Linked DNA regions of Oryctolagus cuniculus. The protein of the gene in region 2 interacts with the protein of the main gene of each other region in a pairwise test. Links are inferred from orthologs where the notes say so. Each region holds a gene or a part of one and is shown on either strand. Other genes may lie near its edges. The genes, in order: CWF19L2, CALCOCO1 and DUSP13B.

Evidence for each region.
Region 1: the proteins of CALCOCO1 (region 2) and CWF19L2 interact in binary tests that used the Homo sapiens proteins (3 or more experiments, as listed by UniProt). The two-hybrid records come from large-scale screens. The link is inferred for Oryctolagus cuniculus from reciprocal best matches to the Homo sapiens genes CALCOCO1 and CWF19L2.
Region 3: the proteins of CALCOCO1 (region 2) and DUSP13B interact in binary tests that used the Homo sapiens proteins (3 or more experiments, as listed by UniProt). The two-hybrid records come from large-scale screens. The link is inferred for Oryctolagus cuniculus from reciprocal best matches to the Homo sapiens genes CALCOCO1 and DUSP13B.

The regions. Positions count from the first base shown.
Region 1 is NC_091432.1:99,116,141-99,119,791, forward strand, and holds part of CWF19L2 (CWF19-like protein 2), read right to left. Parts: intron 407-3,651; coding exon 290-406; intron 1-289.
Region 2 is NC_091442.1:56,692,915-56,696,565, forward strand, and holds part of CALCOCO1 (calcium-binding and coiled-coil domain-containing protein 1), read right to left. Parts: intron 3,169-3,651; coding exon 2,978-3,168; intron 923-2,977; coding exon 764-922; intron 402-763; coding exon 253-401; intron 1-252. UniProt on the Homo sapiens protein: Functions as a coactivator for aryl hydrocarbon and nuclear receptors (NR). Recruited to promoters through its contact with the N-terminal basic helix-loop-helix-Per-Arnt-Sim (PAS) domain of transcription factors or coactivators, such as NCOA2.
Region 3 is NC_091446.1:66,150,074-66,153,724, forward strand, and holds part of DUSP13B (dual specificity protein phosphatase 13B), read right to left. Parts: intron 381-3,651; coding exon 160-380; intron 1-159. UniProt on the Homo sapiens protein: Dual specificity phosphatase that dephosphorylates MAPK8/JNK and MAPK14/p38, but not MAPK1/ERK2, in vitro. Exhibits intrinsic phosphatase activity towards both phospho-seryl/threonyl and -tyrosyl residues, with similar specific activities in vitro.

The DNA.
Region 1 (3,651 bases), on a different chromosome or scaffold from region 2:
ACACAAACCCATGGTCAGAAATCTTAGGCTAACATTTTGATGTAAAAATAATTCATATTGTGTTCCAGTTTAGAAACAAAAGTTTTCAAAATGCAGAGTACTTATGGGAAATAAAACTAAGAGATAGTGAACGCTGGAAACATGATCTGCAGATACAGACAACTACAAAAATGTTTAAATCAGAAGGTAAAATTATTGAATGAAAATACAGACCCTGCTGGACTCTACCACACTAGTTTATAAAAACTGCTCATGGGCTTTAAAATGACAATGACATTTTCATGCTTACCTGAATTTCCTCCCAGATGTCCTCATCTAGTAATGTGGCTGCTCTATGGTGCTGCAAAGGGACTATCAGGCAGTGCCCCTCAGTAAGAGACTGGAAGTTGGGTAAACACAAATAAACCTATCGGGAAAAAATTTTAAAGTTGAAATGCTACTGTAATTTACTCACACTTGTAGCTAATAATTAACACAGTACACTTGCTTAGAAGAAAACGTTTATCATAACTATTTTAAAAAAAGATTTAATTTTTATAACTATTTTAAAAGCCATAAAAATGGTTTTTAATAAACTGGAAATTCAGAATATAAGTGCAATTTTCACTGCTACATATAAAGATTATCCAAGGAAGGAAAAATAAATGATACTACATCCTTGATCTAAAGAAAGTATATACTTTGAAAGCCCTTAACACAGTTTCACAAGACTACAAAGATACATGGCATGGCCTGGTAATGGCAGAGTGCTCTAATCGATGGACTATTAATCAGACCTTTTACCTCTCACAAGCTGAGAAAAGAAAACCTAGCCAAGAGAGAGGAAATGATCTCACGGTGACTTCACTGCTCGAGTTAAGCTCTTTTTATTTCCATACATGTATTACTTAAAACTGGTGCTACTTTTCCCACTAAATACAAACTGTCTTTTAAAAAAGGAGAATGGACAAAAGATCTCCTAAGGAGCATAAATAACTTCCTGCAAAAGGATGTTTTTTCTATTATTTTTGTTAAATTGTAGTTGGAAATATTTTATATGGCAGATAATTATTTTATAAAATAGTGGGCAGTTTTAAAACTCTGCTGTGAACAAAGAAAGAGTGGCTACTTAAATTTATACTGGAGGGACCAGAACTGTGGCGCAGGACTTAAAGCTCCAGCGTGTAACGCCAGCATCCCATATGGAAGCTGGTTCCCAGGGAAACACCACTGGACTACAGTCTCAAACATTTCCCAGTGCACAACAGGAAAAATTTAAGTGTTATTAGAGGTTTAATTTATTCTTATATGGAACAGAATAAAGAAATATAAAATATATATATAAATGTGAGAGATCTATATGGTAGTAATACATATGTGATATATATGGAAATTATGAAAGTCTTGAAAAGAGATGTATAATTTGGGACATGCTCAAGCTGACTTGCCCCAAATGGTAGAGTTAAAAACATACCAGGGGATTCCAATTCAATCCCATCAAGGTGGCATGTACCAATGCCATCTCACTATTCCAAGTGATCAATTTCAGTTCACAATTGATCATAATGAAAGGACTAAGAGTCAAAGGGAGCAGATAAACAAGTCTAGTACCTGCTAACACTAACTGATGGAATAAATAAAGGGGAGAGTGATCCAACATGGGAAGTGAGATACTCAGCAGACTCATAGAATGGCAGATGTCCTAAATAGCACTCTGGCCTTAGAATCAGCCCTAAAGGCAATCGGATCTGGCTGAAAAGCCCATGAGAGTATTTCAGGCATGGAAAGCCAAGACACTCTGGCAAAAGATCTCTGTGAGTGAGATCCCAGGGGAAAGAACAGGTCTTCAAAGAAGGAGGTACCTTTCTCTGAAGGGAGGAGAGAACCTCCACTTTGACTATGACCTTGTCTAAACAAGATAAGAATCGGAGAACTCAGAGGGCTTCCATAGCCTTGGAAACTCATGACTGGAGCATAGGGAGACTACTGATGCCATAGACAGGAGTGTCAATTGGTAAAGTCAACAACAGGAGTCACTGTGCACTTAATCCTCATGTAGGATCTCTGTCCTTAATGTGCTGTGCATTGAGATTTAATGCTATAACGAGTACTCAAACAATATATTTCACTTTGTGTTTCTATGGGGGTGCAAACTGTTGAAATCTTTACTTAATGTATACTAAACTGATCCTCTGTTAAAAAAAAAAAAAAAAGAAAAAAGAAATTATCAACTCCCAACTTGACTCTCACTGGGATTAAACATGACAATAGGTCTGATCTGATTTCATCATCATTTAAAAAAAATCATCTATTATTTTTCACTTTATGTTTCTGTGTGGGAGCAAACTGTTGAAATCCTTACTTAATGTATACTAAGCTGATCTTCTGTATATTAAGATAATTGAAAATGAATCTTGATGTGAATGGAAGGGGAGAGGGAGTGGGAAAGGGGAGGGTAGTAGGTGGGAGGGACGGTATGTGGGGGAAGCCATTGTAATCCATAAATCGTACTTTGGAAATTTATATTCATTAAATAAAAGTTAAAAAAAAAAAAAGGTACAATATGTCAATGAGTCAGTAAGTTCAGGTATGTTTTACTTTCTGAATCAACAATCTATGCTATGCATCTTGGGTATCTTAGCCAAAATTCACTGACATTTTCAAGGTTCATTTGGATGAAACCAACACATCATCATCAAATTAATTATGAATATGGATATTATATATGGGCAAACATTGTTATGATCTCTCTAAAACTACTAAGTTTATTGAAGCAGCATCCTTTAGAACACAGGAAAAATACAGAATGGTTTATTAGATTCAAAAAAAAAAAAGAACTTTAAAAAATTAATATAGGCAATTGGCTAAGATGGGTTTTTCCTTTTTAAAAATTGGTTACATATTTAGTGAAGTTTTTACATTTACCTTTGAGATAACTTATGGAGTGAAAGAAAATTGAAAAAAACAAGGGTAAAAAATGAAGCAAAAGAAATCAAATTGATAAACTGACTGCTTTAATGATCTAAAGATAGTAAGATTACATATAATGTATGAATGCAAATGTACATAAACAACAAAAATAAAAATATGTACAGGGCCGGCACTGTGGCTTAGCAAAAAATGCCACCGCCTGCAGTGCCAGCATCCCATATGGGCGCCAGTTTGAGCCCTGGCTGCTCCACTCCAGCTCTCTGCTGTGGCCTGGGAAAGCAGTGGAAGATGGCCCAAGTCCTTGGCCCCTACACCCATGTGGGAAACCCAGAAGATACTCCTGGCTCCAGGCTTCAGATCGGCCCAGCTCCGGCCGTTGCAGCCATCTGGGGAGTGAACCACTGGATGGAAGGGATGAAAGACCCTTTCTCTTTCTCTTTCTCTCTCTCTCTCTCTCTCTCTCTCTGCCTCTCTGTAACTCTGCCTCTCAAATAAATAAATCTTTAAAATAATAATAATAAATATGCACTATATATTCACTAATTCATTAGCTCCTGAAACTGGCATTCACTATTTAATCTTTTCTACTATCACTTTCTCACTACTTTCTTTCACTGCTCCATGAATGCCAATCATTTCTTCTTCATACGTTTTTACACACTGATACCCCTCCTGAAACATCATTCATTTATACCTTCAAATTTCTTGCTCCCTCCCATCATACATAATTTACTAAAATAT
Region 2 (3,651 bases):
TATCCGGTTCTCTTCTTCCTAGTCCTCCACCCACAGCTCTTGTGTAGCTTCTGCGGCACAACCAGCGGTGGCTGTGATTATTTCTGAAGGTGGGAGATACAGGAGAGCCTTAGGAGGGATGGAAGAGAGCTAGGCAGGAAAAAGACATCCCCAGGACCTGCAATAGCCTGAGTGAGGCTGAGAAGGGGAGGCATGTCTGCCTGCACCAGGAGGCAGGAATGCGGAGGGCGTGAGGCCCTGGGGTCCCCTCACCTGTCCAGCTCCACCTCCTTCGTCAGTACTTTCTCACTGATGGTCTGGATGTCGTCTTCCAGCTCCAGGATGCGTGCCACGTGGTCGCCCTGCTGCCGGCTCAGGACGTCTCGTTCTTCCGTGACCTCCCCATGGGACCGTGCAAGGCCCTGGAGTTAGGGGTTCCCCCAGAAGATGAGGGAGGTTATCGCTCATCTCTGGAGAAGCACGCCCAAGTTTTCACCGCTTCTGCCCTCCATCCCGACTCCCTCCTTGAAAAAGAAACTGTAAGGGCACACGCCCTCACCTGTGACTCCGGCCACCTTGCACCTTATCCCAGCGCGTCAGCGCTCAGAGCGCTGTCTCCTTACACATCGGGACGGATCTCCTGGAATCTCAGGTCTCAGCCCACTCCCTGCCCGCTGAGCCTATTCCTGGGATGCCAGCAGCACCCGAGAAGCCCACCGCCATCTCTCCTTCACTCTCTGTTGGGCACGCGGCCAGCCTCACCCGCTCCTGGCCCGACTCCCACCTTGTACTGCTCCAGGAGCTCGGCGTGCTCCTGCCTGCCAGCTGCCAGGGCCGTCTCGAGCTCCTGCACGCGGCTCCTCAGCTCCGTCACCTGGCCCTCCAGGTGCAGCTTCCGCTGCATCAGGTCATTCCGTTCTTGCTGGCTCTCATCCAGCTGGTTCTACGGGGGGCAGGTGGGAAGCGGTGTGCTTAGCGTGCACCCAGTTCTGAGGGTCCACCCCTCTTGCTCTGCGGGTGCACGTCGGGGTTGGGAAGTTACATCAGCATGGGCGAGGAGGGCGAGCAGGGGGAGGCCTGGTGCGACTCCTGGCCACCACGCAGCCATTCACGCCAGCTTACAGTTCACTGTTACCTGCCCTTTCCCCACACCAGGCTGGGCCCTTCCTCACCCAGCAACTGCGAGAGTCCCTCATCTGGCAGAAGTCTTTCTCTGCGGACGCAGACAAAAGAGATGATTCCCCAAGTTTCACCCTATTTTTTCTGCAGTCAGATACACTTGGGCTCAAATCCCAGTACACTTTTTCCCAGCTAGGTGACTTTGAACACGTTGTTTCATTTCTCTCAATCTGTGTCCTCATCTGCAAAGTGATCCCTTAGTCTTGGTTGTAGGTTTTGTTTTGCTAATTAATCTGAGAGGCAAAGAGACAGAGAAAGAGATGGACAGAGAGCTCCTACTACCTGCTGGTTCACTCCCCGAATGCCTATAATGGCCAGGACTGGAACCAGGAGCAGGAACTCAATCCAGGTCTTCCACGTGGGCAGCAGAAACCCAATTATGTGCGCCATCGCCACTGCCTCCCAGCATCTGCATCAGCAGGCAGCCGGAATCTGGAGCTGGAGCTGGAGCTGGGTGTGGTCTTGTGCTGTGGGACACAGTGTCTCACCGCTGGGCAAACATGCCTGGCCCCAGGCATGAGGTTTAAGTGAGAAAAACTAATTCGAGAACAGAATACAGTGTAGCAGGTCACACATCTGATTTATGTGACATAAAAACATTTTCCTGTTCTTGTGTTGACTCCACCTATTTTTTTAGACTTGGGGTTTCAGAGGGCAGAGTTTGTTTAAATCACAGAAAAGCTACTCATTCTCGCCTTCTGAAACCTCCTCAGGCTTACCCTCCTGGCTGGGGAGTGTACTTCCTCCTCACCCGGCCTTGAACTTCCTTTAGGAAGTCTGCCTTGCTAATATCTGTCTCCACTCCTTAATTCTTCTTATATATGATCAATAGAAAGAGACCACAAGCCACATAAATAATTTTACCCTTTCTAGTAGTCACTTCAAAGGTAAGAAACGTGTGGAATTAGTTTTAATATTTTATCTAATCTACTCTATCCAATATGGTACATCCTTTCAACATGTAAGCAATATAAAAGTTACTGAGATCTGGAGCCGGTGCTGTGGCGTAGTACGTTAAGTCTGCCACAGTGCTGGCACGCCATATGGGCACCGGTTTGAGTCCCAGCTTCTCCATTTCTGATCCAGCTTCCTGCTTATGGCCTGGGAAAGCAGTGGAGGATGATCCAAGTGCTTGGGCCCCTGCGCCAGTGTGGGAGACCCAGAGGAAGCTCCAAGCTTCAAATCGGCCTAGCTCCAGCCGTTGTGGCCACTGGGGAGTGAACCAGCAGATAGAAGACCTCTCTCTCTGTCTCTCCCCCTCTCTGTCTGTAATTCTGCCTCTCAGATAAATAAATAAGTCTTTAAAAAAATAAAAAATGACTGAGATCTTCCACATTATTTTTTTACACGTACTAAGTCTTCAAACTCCATATAGCATCCCTCAGCATGGACTAGTCGCATGTGGAGCACAAAGGATCACACGTGGCTGGGTCTCTGGCATCGGATGGAGCGGGAAGGGGCCCTGCCTATCTGCTCTCCCTCCTCCCTGGTCTTGGAGGCAGTTCTCATCCTGCCTTTCTCAGAACGTTCCCTGGCATAGCCTCCTTGGACCCTCTGCATCAGCCTGTAGGGCCTGGGGCAGGATGTGGTAAGAAAGGCCAGTTCTTATGAAGCCCTGGGCTACGCTGGCCCGTGGGGGCGTGCTTACAGTCCGTCTACATTACACGGAGACTTTCTTGCAGGTAGGACTTGGTGTAACTCCCGGTGAGGTCTTTTGTTGAGGCTACACGTGGAGGAAGCAGGAAGTGGAGGAATCCCCACCCCCCATGCTGTCCTCCGGCTCCCTCTTCCAGGGGCAACTCTGTCGCTCTTCTCTCACCTGCAGTACGGTAGCCTTGGGGACCACGAGCAGGATGTCAGAGCCGCCGTCCGCCTCCTCCAGGGTCACCAGTTCATCCATGGGCCTCGGCTCTCGGAACTGGAAAGGGGGGCTCTGCCCGCACACCCGGCCCTGGCGGTTCACATAGCGGAACTGGTAGAGCTGGGCTCCCGGTTTGGGCAGGTAGCTGGCTGTGGGGAAAAGGCCGGCCCCGGGCCCCCAGTGTGATCCCAGGCACGTCCCCCCGCCCTTGGTGTATGTAGCACAGTACCCACCGCCCCTGGCTTCCTGCTCCATGTTTTGTTTCTCCGTCCCATGGAGCAGTTCTGTTCCTTGGGGTAGCCCTCTCCCTTCTCTGGTTAGCGCTTTCCCTCCTCTGCTTCCCAAAGCTCCGCCTCCCTACCAGACGCTGTGCTAACAGCTTTGCCTACAGCCAGCCTCTTTGCCTTCTAGGATGACAGACAGAGAGGCTAAGTAACTGCCTAAGGCCGACCAGCTTTTGCACAACAGAGCCGAGATCTCAGTGCAGCTCTCATGGCCACCTTCTCTCTCCCCTGCCTCCCAGCTACACGGTGGACTCCCTCTTTGTCCAGGCAGGAGCAGGACCAGATGCCCTGTGAAGTCCCCGATTCTGCGCTAATCCCACAGTGCCACGGCTACTAAGCCCTGTTGGA
Region 3 (3,651 bases), on a different chromosome or scaffold from region 2:
ACATCATCAAATGGCTTTAGTTCTTTACTTCACAGAGTGGGAAGGCTGCTGGAGAGATTTGGGGCTCTAGACCCCCCCCACCCCTCAGTGCTACTGAAAAATGCATGGCCCCAGCGCACATCCCATCCCCCACCCCCCACAGCCGCCCCGGGAGCTCACCCTGGGGAGCATTGAGGGCAGCTCGGATGTACTGAGCAACGGGCAGAAAGTAGACGCTGAGGTCGAAGAAGGGGTTGTCATCGGCCTCGATGCCGTAGTACTCCAGGGGCATTCCTCGGTAGAACTTGGCACCCGTGTCCACTTGAAACTTGCCTGCGGCCGCATTCACAATATGGGTAATGCGCAGCTGCATCAGCTGGCTCTTGTCCCGGGCTGTGTACCTGCAGTGGAAGGTGGGTGTGGATCTCACCAGGTCACACGTGCTGTGTGACGGGTTGGAAGTCGCTTCCCCAACCTGCACTGTTCCCCTCGGAGGGGAGCCACTGGAGCCAGTGAATGGGGGGGGGGGGGGACCCGAGGAGGAGCTCTTCTAGTTGGCATTTCACACTCACTTTCATCGAGGCCAGCTTTCTGGAGGGCAGTTGGGCCACATGCATCAGAAGCCTTAAAAATGTATGTGTACTTTGGGGCCGGCGCTGTGGCTCACTTGGCTAATCCTCTGCCTGAGACGCCAGCATCCCATATGGGTACCGGGTTCTAGTCACGGCTGCTCCTCTTCCAGTCCAGCTCTCTGCTGTGGCCCGGGAGGGCAGTGGAGGATGGCCCAAGTGCTTGGGCCCTGCACCCCATGGGAGACCAGGAGAAGTACCTGGCTCCTGGCTTCGGATCGGCGTAGTTCCGACTGTAGTGGCCATTTGGGGGTGAACCAATGGGAGGAAGACCTTTCTCTCTGTTTCTCCCTCACACTGTCTGTGACTCTACCTCTTAAATAAATAAATAAAATCTTTAAAAAAAATGTATGTGTACTTTGCCCCTAGCAGGTCTCCTAACATCAATCAGAACTATGCCCAGAGGTGCAGATGCTGTGGCACAGTGGGCTAAGCCACTGTTGGAAATGCAAGCATCCCATATCAGAACCTCAGTCAAGGCCGGCGCCGCAGCTCAATAGGCTAATCCTCCGCCTGCGGCGCTGGAACCCCAGGTTCTAGTCCCGGTTGGGGCGCCGGATTCTGTCCCAGTTGCCCCTCTTCCAGGCCAGCTCTCTGCTGTGGCCCGGGAGTGCAGTGGAGGATGGCCCAAGTATTTGGGCCCTGCACCTGCATGGGAGACCAGGATAAGCACCTGGCTCCTGCCTTCAGATCAGCATGGTGCGCCGGCCGTGGCAGCCATTGGAGGGTGAACCAACGGCAAAAGGAAGACCTTTCTCTCTGTCTCTCTCTCACTGTCCACTCTGCCTGTCAAAAAAATAAATAAATAAAAATAAAAAAACTTACTTCTCTTCGTAATCGATAGATTATCTAAAAATACAACAGGAACATAAATGTTGTAAATAGCTCTATTTTCAATGTGTGTCTATGAGAAATACAAAAACAGCTCTCTCTCTCTCTCACTGTCCACTCTGTGGGACACCTGGATGGAATTGCTGGCTCCTGACTTAGCCTGGCCCAGTCCTGGCTAATAGAAGATCCCTTTCTCTCTTTGTCATTTGCTATTCAAATAAATAGATCAATAAATCTTAAAGAGAAAAATAAAATGTGCCCACAGACATATGTGAACTGAGGGTAGTAATATTAAAAATAATGACAAGTTAGGGGCCAGCACTGTGGCGCAACGGGTTAACGCCCTGGCCTGAAGCGCCAGCATCCCATACAGGCACCAGTTCTAGTCCCGGCTGTTCCACTTCCCATCCAGCTCTCTGCTATGGCCTGGGAAAGCAGTAGAAGATGGCCCAAGCCCTTGAGCCCCTGTACCCGCATGGGAGACCTGGAAGAAGCTCCTGGCTTCGGATCGGCGCAGTTTCGGCTGTTGCAGCCAATTGGGGAGTGAACCATCGGATGGAAGAACTCTCGCTCTCTCTGCCTCTCTTTCTCTCTCTGTGTAACTCTGACTTTCAAATAAATAAAATGACAAATGAGGGAAAACCCTCCCAAGTATCCTATTATGGGAGCTTAAATGTGGCACAGTAGTCTTCCCCCATCTCTGGTTTTGCTTTGTGTCGTGGTTGGCCACGGTCTGAAAATACTGAATGGAAAATCCCAGAAATACACAATTCATGTGTTTTAAATGGGGTGCTGTTGTGAAATCTTTGGCCATCCTGCCATGTCCAGCCCAGCCTCGGGTCGCCCCTCTGTTCCACGCAGGCTGTGTACACTGCAGCCCTGTGGACACTTGGAGCCCTCTAGGTTGTCAGAGGGACCACGCTGCTTGTGTTCCTGTGACCCTTAGTCTGCCTAACACCGTAGCTGTTCTGGTCTGCTCTTATGTTGTTCATCTCTTCCTGTGCCTAACTTATGAATTAAAGGCTCATTGAAAAGTGCACGGGAGAAAATATGCATAGGGTTTGGTACTGTGTGTTGTTTCTGGCACCCGCTGGAGGTCTTGGATATGTTTCCTGTGTATCTCAGTGAGGAAACACTGTGCAGTCACCGAAATGTCCCTCATGCTGCTGAGAGGGGAAAGCTGTTCACGCTACGCTGAGAACCTGAGGAGAATATACAATACAAACCAGATGTTTTAATATATGGAGTATGACTCCATTTAAAAAAAGCTTTCTATAAAAGCAGCTCACAAAATGGGATTATCAAATGATACCATTTTTGTGAAAAAAAAAAAAAAAACATGTATGTGCATTTTTTTAAAAGTCCACAAAAATTTGTTACTAGTTATCTGCAAAATCCATATATTTTGGTTCATTTTTCTTTTTTTCTTTTTTTATTTATTTGACAGGTAGAGTTATAGACAGTGAGAGAGACAGAGAGAAAGGTCTTCCTCCTGTTGGTTCACCCCCAAAATGGCTGCTATAGCCGGCGCTGCGCCGATCAGGAGCCAGGTGCTTCCTCCTGGCCTCCCATGCAGGTACAGAGCCCAAGGGCTTGGGCCATCCTCCACTGCCTTCCTGGGCCACAGCAGAGAGCTGGACTGGAAGAGGAGCAGCCGGGACTAGAACGGGTGCCCATATGGGATGCCGGCACCGCAGGTGGAGGATTAACCAAGTGAGCCACGGCGCCAGCCCCTCATTTTTCTAAAACGTAAAAGATACTCTTAGGAAAAAACAACAGTTCTATACACGCACACACACACACGCACACATACACACACCTTAGAGAAACTTCTGTATATTTATGTTTTCCCAGGATACGTGCACTAAAATATTCCTGGAACCACTGTTCATAGTACCCCAAAACTAGAAACAATTCATATGCCCATATACAGCAGAATGGATTAAACTGTGCTGTAATCATGCCATGGAATATTACACAGCAGAGAAAATTGAATGAACTGCAGCTATACATAACAATGTGGATGCCCCTCACAATTCCAAGGAAATAAACCCAAGCACAATTCTCTCTCTCTCTCTCATTCCATTCACATGCTTGTAAAGGACAGGTGAAACTAACTCCAGGACATTGTTTATAGATGCGTGTTATCTGAGTTCTGTTTCCACAGTCAAAATTAAAACTAAGGAGGAAAGGAAAATGTGGAAAGAGATGG